Linked DNA regions of Drosophila melanogaster. The protein of the gene in region 2 interacts with the protein of the main gene of each other region in a pairwise test. Each region holds a gene or a part of one and is shown on either strand. Other genes may lie near its edges. The genes, in order: CG15365, CG15483 and CG6287.

Region 1 (5,627 bases), on a different chromosome or scaffold from region 2:
AATGCAGCAAATGAATGGTGAGAAAATCTGTTAGCGAAGTGAGTAATTAAATGCAATGCGATAAGAAGTTCAACTTAATGAATGTGCAGTGAGTGAAAGAGTGAGGATTTACAGTTTGATGGAAGAGGCAAACAAATGTTGTTTAATAGCAGTTGAAACTAATATAATTTATATTTCAGCTAATGAGTGAAGCAAAAAACTGAACACACGCTTTATATTCAAATGAAGTACGCAGTTCACTCAGTGAATTTATGTGAATAAACTCCAAATTGCTTGAGTTTTTGATAGAACAAGATAGAATTGAATCTAAAAAAAAAACACACTTGCACATCTACTTTTGCTGCCAATTTCGCGTTAACTGCCAATTAAGAAGCCATTAAGTGATCTATTGGCTAACTATTGCATACAAAGTGGAAACTATTTGTTTGAATGCATAATGATTGCAACACGATTCAATCAAATGAATCACGATGGATAACTATGTGTAAAATGGGGCTATATAAAAAGCAGATTGTGCGGGCAATAAAACAACAGGAGCGTGACCTTTATTATGAGTAATAGATATTTGTATAACGAGGGTGTAAAATATTTCATTCGAATAAAGGTTAGGTTCATTTATCTATGCTTTATGACATATATTACCTAATTGCGCATACATAATTACAAAAAAAATATATACTTATACCAAAAAGCAAATAACATGAATGTAACGAATATGTTGTTAAATCAATAGTTTTGACCCCATTCCTCAAGCAATTCGGCCCATCAATCATTGTCAATAAACTGAAGTGTTGATTGAGGCCTTAATGAGACACTTTTAATTATTTGCCAAATAATATTGTTTGTAGTTATCCTGTTAACCAAAACTAAGGTTGTACTTCAATTTAATTAAATCTAAACTGTTTTGCCATTACTCTTATTAATTAATACATTTATCGATGCTCTTGTTCAGTTGGATTTCCTCGAAGAAATCGCGATTTTCTCAATGGCCCGCCGGCGTTGATGACCTGAATCTAAGTGGGCATAGCTGGCTGGCTATATGGCTATATGGCGTTGTGGCCACATTCGTGGCCCAGTCGCTCCGAGCCAGCTTCATCTGCACTAAGCCACGTTATCTTCTTTCACTTGAGCTTCACCTACATTGGAAGGCCGAGTGGACGGCGGACGGTATCAAAAGTGATCATAAATCTTTATAACCTGTATGCGCTGGATTTTCACCAACTGGCTTTTTTCTTTCCTTTTATTTGGATGGGGGGTATGTGGTACTCTCTTCTGGGTTCTGTTGTGTGTTTTTTTTTTCACGAAACTAAAAAGTGAATTTCTGCTCTTTAGCCTTCAGCCTCCTCCGCCGACGATCCCCTGTTTTTATGTTATTTTTTTTTTCATTTCTTGTTTTTTTTTTTTTTTTTGTTTTTCATTTTTTCCTGCCAGTTGACGTTTGTGTGTTTTTTTGTGAATTTACTCGTATATATATTTTTTTGCGCGCACTTGGCCTTAATTGCGCATGCGCGCGCACTTTCAATTCCTTTGGGGCTCGCAACAAAGAAAATGAAATAAGACAAAACATAACACAACTAAACAAAATCGTGTGGCAAATTGTGGCCGGGGCAGAAATTAGATTTCAAGCGCGGCGATAATGATGCGGCAGAGTAATAATAATAATTTTTAAAGGGGCCTCGAGGAGGGGCCAAATCCAAACGAAAATTGCTCTCAACCCAAAAGCAGATTGCACAGTGAACAAAAAATCAGGTCTTTGTCAAATATATTATAGAATATTATTCTAAATAAGTAGTATTTCACTTACAAAAACATATTATATTGCCTTCTGTTTACTGCATTCACTAAGGATATTCATAAACTTTATATATGAGTATATTTAAAATAAAGATCGTTTTTTAAGAGGTATCTAGGGGATTGTTAGTGATCTATGTATTTCACTTGCATATTTATTAGAACCACTTTATTTTTCTGCACTTGACATTTCAACATAAAATCGCTGAATTCCGTCGGAACGAATTAGAGATTTTCCAGGTAAAATAAAGCGATTTAAGGCCAAGTGCAACTGGCCAACCCAACCCAGTAAGCAACTCGGCCACTTCGGCGACCATTATCCATTATCCATTATCCATTATCCATTATCCATTCCCCCCGGGTAGAACCCGCAGTTTCGGATAGGTCAAGTATATGCGGCACTTTATGGGCTTTACGAGTGTAAAAAAAAAGCAAAAAAGCAAAAGATTGAGAAGAGAAAAGAGCTCAAAGACAGATACTTGCTTATTTCTAGAGGCTGACCAGAGCATCTTTTTCATCTTTTTTTTTCATATATATATATATATATATGTATATATATCTACTTTTTTCACCAGTTTCGTATATATTTTCGCTGTAGTTTTTGTTTTTTGCCTGTGGGGCCAACAGGTTCGCTGGCAGTTGGGAAAAAGTCAAACGGCTCAATAATCGAAGACGACGGCTCAGAGTTTTTGAGTCCGCGACTCCGAACTTCAGCTCTTTGAGTCCAGATAAATGAGGACAACAACAACAGCGACAACTTTAAAGAGGTTGTGCGTGTGCCTGTGTGTGTGTGAGCCAGCTGGGATAGGCACACTGTGCGAAAAGAGCATGTACTACTTTGTTCTAATCAAGCTAGGCAGGTCGAATTCAAATTGATTTTAGCACGTTTTCAATTTCAAATGCCACATAATAAATATATTATTATGTTTAAATCTTACAATTTTCAACATATTCTATTATTTTCTGTGTACTCCATTCGAATTAAAAAAATCAGCGAAACCAAAATAAACGAAAAATCAGACAGCAACAAGAAAAAAAAAATACGAAAATATTTTAAGCCCAACGAAAGAATAACAAATGAATGGAAATATTTGCTCACCTCTTCCTTTGGTTTTTAGTGCCTTGTAATCGCTGTTGTTGACTCTTCAAATGTGTGTGTTTTTATATTTTGTAAATTTTCTTGGTTTTTTTTTTTTTTTTGATATTTGTTTATTGCTTGCCCGCTTGATGTGGCTGCATTATATTTCAGCTGTTGCCGCTGAAAGCCAACGGAAAGCAGGCAAGTTTTCAAATTTGCACAATGAAATTGATTTTACAACGCGTAAAATTCCACAAATTATGCACGAAATGCGTTTTGAATTGCACTCAGCCACCACACTCGAAAAAAAGGCTGCCATTCACCGCTCGCCGCGAAGCGTAGCCCAAACCCCCCCAAAAAAAAAAAAGAAAAACTAAAAAAAAAAAACCGTTGCACGCCTGCGCTTTTCAAAAATCTTCCCAGTTCGCTTCGAAACTTTCATCCGCAACGTTGGCCCTCCGTCGACGACTTTCGCGTTCCAGCGCTCAAAGCAAACTGAGCTGCAGAGCGTCGGAATTGGAAGCAGCGAACGGCGACTGCGACGCGACTGCGGCGCGCCGGCGATCAGAGATGAGAGCTTAGCTTTTTTCAAAAGCTTATAAAAAAAAGAGTCATCTTCGAAATGACATTCTCATTCGATTGCAAACGTTTATGTGTACGAATTACTTGAAAATTGAAGAATATAACTTGTACTTTAGAGATTCATGCAGTTATTTAACTTGTTGGCTAAGGATTCAATCACTTTCATAAGCATATTTTCCAAAAGATCAATGTATTGTGTACTAAATGTAGTAGCTGTTTCTCATACTCTTTACTTTTTATAACTTATAATTATACTAATTATGCTTCTATTGGTGTTATGACGTACAGTCAGCACTGATTGCTTGCGAATCGGATTGGCAATCATTGTCGCCGTTCTTTCCGGTTTGCTGGCGTTGCCACAGCGCTGCAATTAAGCGGCTAATTCTGATTTTGGATACCGATTCGGATCCAGACTTGGGATTCAAACATATGTATAAACATATATGTTCGCGGCAACCGCATTAGTCCAAGTCGCAGTCGCCGCCTAGGTTAATTTCCCTCAATTTTGTGGCTTTTCGCATATAGGTTCATTGCTTACATTCATAGATACACAGCGAGAAAATTGTATTACTTACAGATAATTCTTTAAAATATTTAATAGTATTTGATATTTAATAGTATAGTATTTAAAATTTAATAGTATTTAATATTTGGTTAGTTTCTTCACTGGAATATATTTGAACCTTAAGATTTCTCAGGAGGAAGGATTTTTATACCAAGGATTTTTTAATTTCCTCTGTGTAAAACACACTTGGCTACCTGTTGCACACACACACACACACACAAATTCTAGTAATGGCCGTCCGCAAATTGACCCATAAAATTGTAACGTTGCTTGAGCCAAGATAGTTTAGCTGTCCATATATCACTGCAGATACACGACACTGGCCTACAAAAGAACACTTTGATAATTCCCCCCGATGTGCAGTGTTGAGATGGTAACGTTTTGTGCTTAGCCGACTAAGATGATCTTCTTAATATAGAAAAACTAAACTTCAAATCTACCACTTCTCACTGGCCTGTTAACCAGTGCTATTTGGTTGAGAAGTCTGGAACTCAGTGAATCGGCAGTTGTATCCGCGAACGCATAAATAACCATCCGTGGCTATATGTTCGCTGTTGTCCAGTGGTACACCTTCATCGTGTCGATCGAGGTGGCGATCAGATTCTTCGATTTGCATGCCAAACAGCCGGGAACATCGCTAGCTTACTACGAGTATATGCATCCGAGGCATGCGATTCGATTTGATATCCGATCGCCGGCGGCGATGGCCACAAGGTTATCCCCTCCCACGGATCATGGACATCATTAGCTCATTCGTCACGATCGCAATGGGTCCTAGAACCAACGATGGAGTACTCGTAAGTGAGAATCCATGGGTCATTTGGAGAATTGCCCAGATCCAGCAATCGCAACAATAATCATTCAATCCACAATGAGCCCATGAAAAGTTTGGCATTTTCATACAGGTTCTTCTCTTTGGGAAATTGCTTGTTGTATAAATCAGCTCTTTAGGAAACTCTTTTGAATTTGTGATTATATAACTGTGTAATTTTTATTTGGAAAATACCTTGTTATATCCATACAACAAAAATATTAGACAAATCATAATGGATAAAACTTTTGATAGCCGTTTTAAACAAAATTATGCATTGGAAATATTTTATTTTGTTTGATCCTTTAATCACTTTAGGTTCACCTTGATTTCGAAGGTCTTGTAGGTGTATTCCTGGATGACTTTCAGATTCTTAATAATGAACTCCTTGATGGCCTGCACGTAATCGGCGGCGGCCAGGATGAGCTTCTTAAAGGCATCGATCACCTTGCCCTCGCCCTCCAGACGACCCTTGAACTTCTCCTCCGACACCTGGGCAATGAATCCCCGCAGTCCCAGTGCATTGGCCTGGACCAGTGCAAACAGCTCGAAAGCATCCTTGGGCACCCTGCCACGCACCTCAAAGTCACAGCACAAGATCTCCTCCTTTTGGCCTGCCATCTCGAGTAAGATTGAATTTGCCAAAAAAAAAAAAAAAAAAAAAAACAGGGTGTACAATATGTAGTTTCGAAGGTCACACAACCACTCGATTGACTTGATGGCAAAGTCTCGGCGCTCTGTGACCCTGACTTTGAACCTCCAGATCCGATCGTAATTGCCTCCAATTATCGTGTATCCAT
Region 2 (4,759 bases):
AAGCGTGCGGATTCCGGCCAGGTGACCAGGATGGGTACGCGGCACTTGGGTCATACGCAAAGTGCTGTGAACCACAAAAATGGCGCATGACCTCGCAGTTGGCACTTACACGAGTGCATTGTGTCTGTGCATGAACCGCAATAAACAATATGAATTTATATGCGCTCGGAAACATTTTAATTAATCACTGGAGGGCATCAATTGCATTTTGTATGCTAATAATTTGCGCTATAAATATTCCATATCCCTTCGGTCTCCTCTCCAATCAGCCTCTAAAAATCCCGATTCGATTTCTTTCAACTGCCGCCGCACTCCCCCATTTGATGGTGCGCATTTTAAAACGAATTGATATTCAATTAAGCTAAAAATTTCACTGGCATATAAAACGCACACACACACACACAAGCAGTAGAATGCAGCAAATAATAAATATTTATTTAGGTTTGCAGTTCATATTTTATACTATTGATGCTGTTGCGTTTGCAGTTGATTGTTGATTTTTTTTTGTTAACTGCACAGTAGAAAAAGTTAAGCAAACATTGACGGAAGCGGAAAACCGATGGCGAATTTTAAGTGCCCTTTTAAAAAAAAAGCAATGAAAGTTCGAGCTTAGATATGACTTTAAATATAAAACACACACATATAAGTTACTCATAGTTGCAGATTTATATGAAACAATTAAAGTAAAGTAAATTAAACTAGCTTAAGCTATACTTATTACAATTTGTATTTCCCTAAATCGTAAACACACACATTTTACTAAACATTGAATTTGAAATAGCACTTTTTTATAGCAGGATTACATCTAAATAACACAACCATTCCGAGAACCGTACATCATCCGCATCTCCCTGGAGATCTTTTTATCGATAAGCCCATTGGTTCGGCGGGCTTGAGGGAAGATCTCCTTACGATTGCCTGGCTGTTTGATGCCGGGCTTATGGACCAGGAAGGCGTTGTCCAGGATATGGAACTCGTAGTCCAGAACGCACATGGCATACGCCTGGGTCATCTTGTCCCGTTGACCCTCCCACGTTAATCGCTCATCGTATGGAGGATCCTCGACGGTGCCCAAAAATATTGGCTCCCAATTGTTGTTATTTTCCGAGCGGTGGCCAACATTGAAGACATTCAGTTCCTTGGAGACAACGCTCGCATTTATCCACTCCTCCAGGTTGGGTCCCCTATGGCATGCCTCACAGATGTCCATGTGAAATGGCACAGCTTCGCCCGACTTCAACATCTCTTGCAACTCTGGCTTGGTGTTCGGTACAGATACATTGGCCATTACCTCGAAAATCCGCAGCACATGGACCAACGGTGAAGTGGGCTGCTGTCCTGGAATTCCAATCACCTGTGATTCAGAAATCGTTATTGCCAACTGACATCAGCAAACGGGGTAATTGGTACAAGTAGAGGCATATTGCCAAACAAATCGTAACCAAAAAGTGCAATAATAAACCTTACTTGGCGGCCAAGGAAATGCATATAGTCGGGCACCAATCCGGGCGTGGGATAGAGCTCGATGTCCGAGGCCAGGACGTAGTGCGTCAGCGAAGCCCGGCGTGCAACGTTGCGTCCCATATTGACGGGATAATCCAGTGTGTTTCGAGACCTGTACATGTTCCCTTTAACGACATTCTCATATGGCGGTGGTCCACTACAGTTGGCTGGCTCCCTTAGAGTCGTTTCGGGTGGCAGAACCACCTGGGGCAAGTGCTCCACATCGAAGTACAAATGAATGCTGCACAGCTGGCGAACCAGGTCGTGGCCAGGATGGCACTGCAGCAGGTACAAAATGCTGTGTATAGTGGGCTCGAAGTCCGTGCCAGGAGCATATATGGCCAGGCTGAGGGGCGATCGCCAGCGTTCCAGGAGCGGCACCACATTATCCAGATACGTATAGTCCGCATGGGTGGTGTAGGTCACATTCGAATAGCACGGAATATCGCCGTGATCAGCCATTACATAGTTTTCCAGCACCCAGTAATCCTTGTAGATCGCATTGCTGGACTTGTAAGCCTTAGACTCGCAGTTCACAAACTTTTTCAGCTTGGCCAGGGTGCCATTCTCCAGGCAACTGATTTCCAGAACAAAAGTAAGGACTACGAGTGAACTCAGAAGGCCAGAGATTCGAAACATATTGTTACGATTTTCTTTTTGGGCTTTCCACAAATTGTATTCGGGCTTGACCTATGTTTCCTCGATAAATAGATTGAAATTCAACTGGATTTCATAACAAATATACTTTTCTATCATTGCAGAAAACCCCTAAAGTGTTATTTAATTGAAACCTTAAAGAATCACTTAAAACTCAATTAAGCCAACCTTTCCCAAAAGGCTTCTCGACACCCCCTTCCCCAGCCAAATGAAAACGAAACCCACCAAACGAAAAATAATCTGTTGCGAATGGGGTTTATTATTGATTAGCAGACATTTTAATATGCAGGCTGCGCAAATAAACAATTAATACGGAAAATTAATGTACATTGTTCATTGTTAAAGGTAAATCCCCAAACTCGCAACGAAATCCATCCAAACCATACCCACGTCCCTTTTCACAGCAACAGCCGTGGACAACAAATTTTAATTATGCGCCCAGTTTTGGCTTCTATTCGCATTTGGGCGCGCAATGGGGGTGCTGTGTATATAGATTATGTATTTGTATGTATATTGAAATATTAGTAATTACGAGTTGAAAATTCATGAAAATACAATTTGCGATTATTGTTATTAGTGTCAGGCAACAGGCAGGGCCTCTCCGATGGGAATCCCCTGCAAACTTTTGCAAATGGCTGGCAAAGTTCGTCGTGTGCGGTGGAGGAGCAGCCAAAATGGGAGGGGGGTGGGGGGAGGACGAAGGACAAAGGGCGCAGGACGGCGACAGCAGCTGAAAAATTTATAAATTCAATAGCACCTAATTAAAATTAAATCTGAAAGCTTTCTGTATCGACGATGGAGCACGGCTTTGGCAGCCACAGTTGGCAAAGGCAACAGCAACAGCAACAGGACACAACGCAACAGCAACGAGTCGAAGGAGAGTTGGCCAAGGATACACGGCACAGGATATGCACGGTAAATGCTGTAGCCGGAAATGAACACGTTCTGATGTGTGCTGCTAGTAAAGCACTTGGAGAAAAAACCTAGTTGATGATGGGACTGTAAAACAAAACCCAATGCCACGAAATGTAGATTGTTGCAGAATATTCAATATTTTATAATAATTTATATATTTTTTTTAAATATTTAGTATTTAGAATTTAGTTATTGAGCTTTACAATAATATGCAGATGAGTGCCTTGCAGGCCATTCATTGTTTTTAAAGCAGAAAAGTGCGGCCCATTTAAATTGGTGGCATAAACATAAAGCAGTAGTAAGTAAATGCAGTGTTTTTGAGTGGGCTTAAAATATTGCCTGTGGTATTTGCGAGGTGTAAGCTTATGAATTTGCATGCGATGTTGATTTTTGGGCAGTGTGTGTGCGCCGCCATGGAAAACTTTACCAACTGAAACGTTGTGTGTGTTTATTTATGAGCCGGCGTTTGTTTGCCCAGCCAGCTCGACGCCAATGTGCACCCTACCTTATGGCTTGGCTGGCTGTGGGCCATATTAATTATTGAAAGATTTGATATCGGCTTAAAGTTACGTTAGCCGTCTGTTGCTCTTATTGTTTCCACTTGCTGCACCTGGCTGAGACTCCAGCTCCACCTGGAACCTTAACTCACTTGTCTCATGCATCATCATCAGCAGGGCAGTGCCAAATCTAATTTACTTTGTCTACCTTTGCTCCACCAGTACTTTTGCTCCCCGTCCCGATCAACTTTTACCGAGATGGCATTAGTCCTTGATCCGGGCGCCTGGAAATGAACCAATAAATCAGTTTATAATAGAGAAAAGGAAAAATGTGTGGGAGAACTGCATCGAAGTTGGGTGCAACTTTTGATGCCGGGCGGATCAATGGCCCCGGGAGAAAGGTGAAAGTGCTTTTCCCAAAGAAATCATATTTACCTGTGCGTCGGACATAAAAATGTCAGGAAAAAATGGCAGGGCGAGGAAGGAGGAATCAGGTGTATAGAGTTTCGTAAAGCAAAAGTCAGCTGAAAATACGGACTACCTAGTTGTTAATCAGAATATGAAAAGTCCAGGCTGTATCTTATTAAATTACAAAAGTTATAAAGCAAATAATTAGAGAGAGAGAGAGAGAGAGAGAGAGCGGTAATGATAGGAAAAGTAATAATAAGCATTGACAAAGTATTGTAAGTCCTCACATGATTAGTGAGAGGTTTGGTTTTATCTTTTATATCTTAATTGCGCTGTTATGTTACTGTTATTGCATTGTATTGATTCATCGCTTCTAAATAAATAAATATAAAAAAAAAAAAAAAAAAAATTGACAAAGTATTTTAAAAGTGAAAAGTGAACTTATACACAACAGGAATATAACTTTTGAAGTGAGACAACTATTTAAACAACTATTTCCTTTAATGAAAATAATACCAAAAAAAGTGGTATGAAATTATATCAATAATCATAGATATGGTTGTGGCTCAATAAAAATAAACAAAGCTTAATCGTAATTCAATTTACATCTCCTTTAATACCGAAATGCAACTGTCACGCTCTAAATGTATTTTCTGCTAGTTTATATAACAATGGATATTTCAATTTAGATTGATGTTTATTCACTTGTTCACATTTGCCCAATTGATTTTCTAACCGAAAACGATTTTCAATTCAAATGTCTATGCTCTGCACCGAGC
Region 3 (7,510 bases), 1.6 Mb from region 2:
TGCGTGTTCCAAAGGTCCAAGTTCAATTTCAATGCCGACTCACAATTTGATTCCAGTTAAGCCGACATATAAGCTGATTGAAATGAAAATTTAATTTTAACTTCTCCTAGTTTCCAATGGCACGTTACTCCTTTTATGAGTTGTCCAGAGAAGCCATGACAATTCATATCATCTTGTGAAACTTCACGTTTGCATACAATAATACGGAATTGGCACTTCCTGTGTCGTAAATTATGCATTGACAGAATAAGTTCCTTTTGCATTGGAATGAAGACAGGACAAGCGAAAATGGGTCTTGCACTTCCGCAATTGATTTAATACATTTAACATCACTTAATATTTCATTTCACAACCATTTTGTCTCGTTTTCATTTTCCAAAGCTATTTTCACCACATAAATCACGTATATTTGTCATAAATTGCTACAGCTATTCAATAAGTAAACCATTTTCAGCCAGGAAATATTCTTTTATTGCTATTTGCCAATATCTTCCTCATTTCCAGGGAAAAAGAATTCACAGTTCCATATACATTTTTGTCCATTATATGAGCTCCCATTGTGTGATTCTGTTGCAGAATTTATGAATTTCTTCTTTAAATGGAGCGCTTTTCCATTAAGCTGCTGCAATTGAATCAGAATAAGTATCATACTACTGGTCTCTTTTAAATTTGTTAAATTGTTTAAGAATATCAAGTGGTGCCTTTGCCATAAATGAACTTTCACCTGGCAATGTTGGTTCAGTTGAACGTATTCGCACATGCTGAAGATTATGACACACAAAAGTTGGCAGGAAAGTTCACTGAAACTCCGCTTTTCCTTGAATGGCTATATGTAAAATCAACATTAAACTTGCTTTCTGGTAAAAGCCTTGATTTTTTTTTATCAAAATACAAAACGGTAGTACGAAATTCGGAAAACAAGTCAGCTTTCGTCTAAGTCCTTGTAGCATTTCGATACCTTGAAATGGTAACTTTCTAGGAATAATAATATACATATATAAATATTTAGATCTGAGAGTATTTTAAGAAAACTCTTCTTCTTTTTATTTTTACTTGTGTATTTTGGTTTTTACGTTGTTTACATCCCTGGTTGTAAACTTATTTATTTATAAATGCTGAATATCGAATTTAGAATGTGCTGATGGTTGTGAATATTCGATTTGCTTCACTGGTAATGGGCGAGTGCCTCCTTGTTAATAACGCCCGCATAACTGGTGTACTTCGGCGAGGTTCCATTGAGGGCGATGAACTGCTCCGCCACCTCCACGGCAACACGGACCTGCGCCTCCGAAGTGCTCGCGCCCAGATGCGGCGTGGCCACCACCTTGGGATGACTGATGAGGGCCTTGGTGACCGCAGACTTTGGCGGCTCCTCGGGATAAACGTCGAAGGCCGCGCCGGCCACTTTTCCGCTCTCAAGGCCATCGAGCACGGCCTGCTCGTCGATGATGCCGCCCCGGGCCACATTCACCACCTTAACGCCCTGTTTGCACTTGGCCAGTGTCTCCGCCGATATGAGATCTGATGGGATTCAGCAAAGAAATCTATATAGTTTAGCTTGAATTTTATGCATACTGCTGTTAAATGTTAATCTCTTAATCTCTTATAAATATTCTATCAATGCGCGACTTACTTCTGGTGGCTGGGATCAGCGGCGTGTGCACGGTTATGTAGTCCGCCAGTGGCCAAATCTCCTCCAGCGTCATCTTCTCGATGCCCGCCGCCTTGGCCTCAGCCTCCGTGGTGATGGGATCGTAACCAATAATCTGCAAAGCACTCAGAGTTCGATTAAAATTCCAAAATAAGTAAATACCCCATTCAAAACACACCCGCATGCCCCAGGTCTTCATCCGAATGGCGACCTCGCGTCCAATGCGTCCCAATCCGAGAACGGCCAGGGTTTTTCCATACAGCTCTGTGCCGGCATAGAGCTTCCTGTCCCAGCGACCCTCCTTCATGCTCTGACCGGCGGGGACGACGGGACGGGCCAGGGAGCCAATTAGGATGCACGTCAGCTCACAGGCCGAAATGGAATTGCCACCCGGAGTGCTGAAAGCGACGAGAGTTTAGTTAAACATTCCCTAAATGCCTCGCTAGACACTAGCTGTTGCGCTAAGTTGAGCGTTTCTGGTGGGCAAATGGGTGGCGTTTGTTGTGACTAGACAGCATTATGCAAATTCCGCCAAAAAAGAATTGAATGGGAGGTGGGAAATATGGCAATTTTCCAGCTTTCCAGGACATCTGACATGGATGTGGCCAACCCAGCACCCACCACCCACAACCCATAGCCACCCAAACACCCACGCAACTCCATCGACACTCGTCGTCCCTTAATTATGCGTGTCAAACGGCGTCAATTGACCCAAGTCATGGGTATTCTGGGCTGGGATGGCATATCAACTGCCAATCCTGCGATTCGGAATGCGCATAATTATTTGTGAGCTGCGCCATCGGAGATTACACTACGCTGCATACCATAAAACACTGCTAGTTTGAATACCCATGTTTATGATCATTATTGAGATTACCACAATTTTACTGAACAGTAATATTTCCTCGCAATTGATAAATCTGCCATAAAGGGCTACATAAATTCATTTCCGAGAACAACTAATTAATATTTTCGTTCCATAAATTAGAAACTGTTTAAAAATGCAAATAAATGAAATCGGAGCCGAAAATGGATTGAATTGTTTACCAACTTGAACTATAAACAGAATGGTAAAATATCCATGAAATATATTGCATGGCAAGAGCTCTAATTAACCATAAATAAGTACTTTGTACTGTTTGTACTTTCTATATCAGACTTTCAGCTACAAATACAAGTTGGTCTTGTGGCATAGTGTTCGTGGCTACTCTTTTCCCGCCCTGCAATGCACCGGAGGCTTACGGAGCACTTACTTCAGGACAACGACATTTTGCGCTGTGGCTGCGGGAACATCGATGTTGTCAACACCCGCCCCCGCACGGCCAACGACCTTCAGGCTGCCGGATCCGGCGGCCAAAACTTCCGCGGTTATTTTGGTATCCGAACGAACGATGGCTGCGTCGAAATTCTGAAATGCGGTGTAATTTAATAATTAGCAACTGGGTAAATATAAATATTTGTCATCTAATTGCCTAACTCATTTCCCTGGCCATCTGGATGGCATCGATTACTGCTTTCTTCTGGAAACGTGATTGATACCACCTAACACCTGTACTTTATCATAAATAAAAGCAATTCGTCTGGCGTATGTATGTTTCTGGCTAAGATTATTGAACCTCTTGATATTTTCCGGCAATTTGTGATCCTACTGGAAACAATTTATTTAATGTTGAGGCAACATCGTCTGATCGGCCGTTTGATTGATAAGAACTATTGGACCGATAGTAATAAATGGTGATAACAATGTCTGGCCCAATTGTTCACAGCAGATTATTGCCATTTAAAAGGAATAGTTTTTTTTATTTTGTAGAATAAAATCTGAAAGTGCATTTCGAAAAGTGGTTTAAAATGCTGGGCAGTTTAAAATGAACAATAGAGAATAATATAGTCGAGATACTCGACTAGCAGATACCCGTTATTTGGTTTGTGGGAGTGCGAACGAGCGAAATTACAAAAATTCTTTGGTATATCGATAGAAATTGTCAAAATTGTGGGCGTGGTAGTTTGCGTTCAGACGGGCGGACAGAAGGACGGACATACCGACTTGGCCAATGAATCTAATCAATAATATATATATAATACTTTATATGCTTTCCTGCTACCTGTTACATAAATTTCAAAGAATCTAACGGGTATAAAAACCATTTGGTTCAGACTAAATTCTTTTTCTCTCTGCGAACGTGAAAAAAAATTTGTTGTCAAGTACTTATTTTCTGACCCTTGCAATTTGCTTTTATGTTATTCAATAAAATCACCAATTAAAAGTATCCGTCTCTAAATCAAATAAAATTCAAAACATGCATTCGTGCCCATACAGACATGAAGCGGTTTAACTAATTGAGACAAACATGCTTGTCAAAATTTAAAGCTGTTTTCGTGCAAGAGAAAACAAATTTAAATAAATTATGAGAGTAATTGATTTTGATTTGAAGAAGCCACAAAATGTTTTTTTCTAGTTTTTGTTTATTTTATCTTTATAACTGCGGTGAAAATATTCTCTTAGCCATTAACCCAATAAGGCTTAAAGTTTGGAGACAAGGAAAATAAGATTTGTAAAAACATTCTATATTCCATAACAAAGATGATAATGTTAAAAAAAGGGGTCAATTCCTTATCATTAGTTTTAATTTTGTTAAATACAATCTCCATACTGCAGTAGTTTTGAAATATACTTTCGGTTTGATGTGCTTAGATTGCTTAGTTACAGACTAATTGAAATGTTATTATTATGTAACGCCCACGCGTACTATCATATATGTACACACACATATACAATGCACCCATATCTCAGAGCGTTGCACATGTTTTTAACCACACTTGAATCATTCGCAAAGCTTTCATCCCAGCGACTTAACTCGTTCATATACATCTGAACGTGTGTATGTATTTACTTATTTACCTGTACTGAAATCCCTAAGCCACTTACCTTAACTTCCTGACACAGTTCCTCCACGGGGAGCTTTAGTTTGTAGGTAACCTTGTCAAAAAAAAAGAAGGAAAATATATGGTCAACAACGTTGATTAAATTGTGCAATAAATTAAATGCACTTATTTTCTATTTGTCCACTTCTAAGCGCTTTTACATGCTTGCAAATTCACATACAGTGTGTACTCGATAAGTAAAAGCAATCGAATAGCTTAATTTAAATGAATTGCATTGTAGGCATAGACTTTCAAATATTTAATATCTTTTTAGTGTTAGTTTTCGTCGAAAAAACATTTTTTGTGTGGTTATACTTAGTTTAATTATTTGTATTTTTATCCGAGGGCGCACTGTACTTTTGAGCACTTGTATGGGTGTAAGCTTTTGCTTACTCCAACAAATAATCGACTGTCACGTCAGGGGATTGGCGAACCTTACCTTAATCCCATGCTGTTCCAGCAGCTCCACGCAGGATTTGTCCACAGCATCGCAGACCAGCACTTTTCTTATATTGAGGGGCATATTTGGGTGGGTAATGAATACACTGAAAAATCTGGACAACCGGTAGATTGCGTTAATTTTTGCCAATTACTTTCCGCAACTCACGATCTGCGCCGCCGAGCAAACAAATTGAACTGACTTCGAGAGTGGGTTTCTCGGGCCATCGAACCTGACTTCGAATGCCTCTCGCCGGTGCAGTGCGATTGTTGTTTTTTCTGGGTGATAACCAAACCACTGAGAGGATCGGAGAGCGCCACTTGGATCTTAAAGTTCTCTCCTTCTTCTCGCGCGATTTGTTCTTCTTGAGTGTGCGTGTGTGAGTTGTTTTCGATTTTTGCACGCAAAACAACAATTTTAACCCACGGACGACCCTGTGATTAAAAATGATTTAAAAATTTCAGCTTTTGTAAAAAAATATGGCAAGCTTTCTAACTTTAATTGTATTATGCATTTATTTACTTTCTAATAGGGTTCAAAAAAAAGTACTTACCCATATAATCAAACTCACGCCGAATAGATAAGACTGCATTTATTTTTAATATTTTTATTGTATTTGCTTTTATTTGCAATTTAGCTTTCATTTAACTACGTATTTTCCAAAAACATATTGTGAACAACATTTGAATGCGGAAAATGAAAACGAAAACAACAAAATGTCGTCAAGGTGATGGCAGGTATTCATCCTTAACATTAAATTAAAGGAATCTTACAAAGTTGTTAACAAAATAATTAGGTAACAAATTGAAATATCATTAACTATTTACATACAATTTTTGAAAATTGCTGATTGGATTTTAGTTACCGTTTTTCTCATTTTTTACAATATGTATATGTTTTGTATGTATAAAATATTCTATATAAATTGGGAGCGGTGTTGATATTTCCACCAATAGTTCATTTTTATCTTTCCAGGGTATTCGGTGTGGGGATCTTTGGTTAATAATATATTGATTACGGAAATTTCATGCGTGCTCTTGTCAAATTTTCCACCTTCTATTCCAGTTCAATAAGTTATTTAGGCTAAAAAAATAAGGTTTGCTTTTCTTATTTAAGTGGCTTTGAAAAGTAGAGAAGTTATTACCGCTAAATTTAATTATATATAGGCGTATCTTTAAAGTTTCAGTATGCTTGCTATAAAACTTGTTTGTATGTTTGTGTTTTTTTTTTATAGTTTTCAAGAGTGTCAACAAATCGAAATTGCTTGGTTTGGTTTTCATTTGTTTTATTATAATCGGAAATAAGAGTTTATTATTACAAAAAAATTGCTATACTTTTGAAGCAAACCAGTTTTACTTCTTTGCAGACCTCTGTCCGTCTGCTAGAAGGTTATGTAATGGAATATATGAATTTATCAAGTTTAGTTTTCGAAAACTTTCAAAGAACTTGAGTTGAGAAATTTAAGGCATCTTACAAAATATCTTCAACATATTCCTATCAGATCTGATGAAATTTTCATGGCAAAGTTCACCTTTCCGTTACCAGAAAGTATCTAACAATATCTGGGATAATCAGTTATTTTTTAATCAATATTATTTTAATTAGTTTTTGGATTTCACGCTTACAAAATGCCGGCTGATGTATCTTTATCGGTTTAAATTTTGTTAATTATGGCAAGAACATACATACATATTTATATATGCAGCTCTATAAATGTGTGTATCTTTTTTAATATATACCATTATAATATATTGAATTACCAGTTCTGTGAATTATGTGCAATATTCTAACATACACACTTCTCATCAACTGACCATTTAAACTTAAGTTTTCCGCTTGTCCCCTTCTTAGCTGCAAAGGATCGTATCTAGTTTTGTTTTTAACTTTATGCTAGTATTAAAAAGTAATATTTCATTTAGGTTTAGCTAATACATAGATCATTTTGCTTTGCCACTTTTTACAAGAAGTGCTTGTGTATCGTTTGCTGCGTTCCGTTATATATTTAAATTTCAATTTGTTCCTCGTTAAAGCGCCTCCAGTGCCTTGGTCAACCCCATTCAAATTCTCTAGGGGATGGGAGGTGTTCTCCCATCTGACCTTTTAAACCCTCCCTCTCCTGAATGTGGCTAACAATTTCAATTAGGTATCTGTATTTGTCGTGCGCTGTTCAAATTTACTTTCTGAAAATTAGTTATATCACCTTGTATCTCTTATATAAAAAAGTACTAGATTTTTTCTGCGGGCAAATTGCCCGACCTGTCACTAAACTCTGACCCCGTGTTACAGGATTCAGCTGTTGTCCTTGGACAGTAGGATGGGTTCTGTGGGTGTGCTTACAGATCAAAACTAGCTGAACATCGACTCTTACTCGAGGTGGTGGCGATCGATTTGAATGCAGTGCGGTTCATCATTGTTGGGCGCTAGCTCAGTTCGACAACTAATGATCGACAAATTTAGCATGGTGGTTGGAATTGTAAAAGGAGTGCTCGTTCGGAATG

Evidence for each region.
Region 1: the proteins of CG15483 (region 2) and CG15365 interact in a two-hybrid assay, tested with the Drosophila melanogaster proteins (one large-scale study listed by BioGRID).
Region 3: the proteins of CG15483 (region 2) and CG6287 interact in a two-hybrid assay, tested with the Drosophila melanogaster proteins (one large-scale study listed by BioGRID).

What each region holds. Positions count from the first base shown.
Region 1 is NC_004354.4:9,064,618-9,070,244, forward strand, and holds the start of CG15365 (uncharacterized protein), read right to left. Parts: upstream 3,367-5,627; 5' UTR 2,891-3,366; intron 1-2,890. Other genes in the region: CG10970 (uncharacterized protein), read right to left, coding at 5,137-5,448.
Region 2 is NT_033779.5:12,759,651-12,764,409, forward strand, and holds CG15483 (uncharacterized protein), read right to left. Parts: upstream 2,191-4,759; 5' UTR 2,143-2,190; coding exon 1,468-2,142; intron 1,355-1,467; coding exon 806-1,354; 3' UTR 696-805; downstream 1-695.
Region 3 is NT_033779.5:11,150,506-11,158,015, forward strand, and holds CG6287 (uncharacterized protein), read right to left. Parts: upstream 5,217-7,510; 5' UTR 5,097-5,216; coding exon 5,013-5,096; intron 4,629-5,012; coding exon 4,578-4,628; intron 3,060-4,577; coding exon 2,905-3,059; intron 2,050-2,904; coding exon 1,830-2,049; intron 1,767-1,829; coding exon 1,634-1,766; intron 1,522-1,633; coding exon 1,166-1,521; 3' UTR 1,001-1,165; downstream 1-1,000.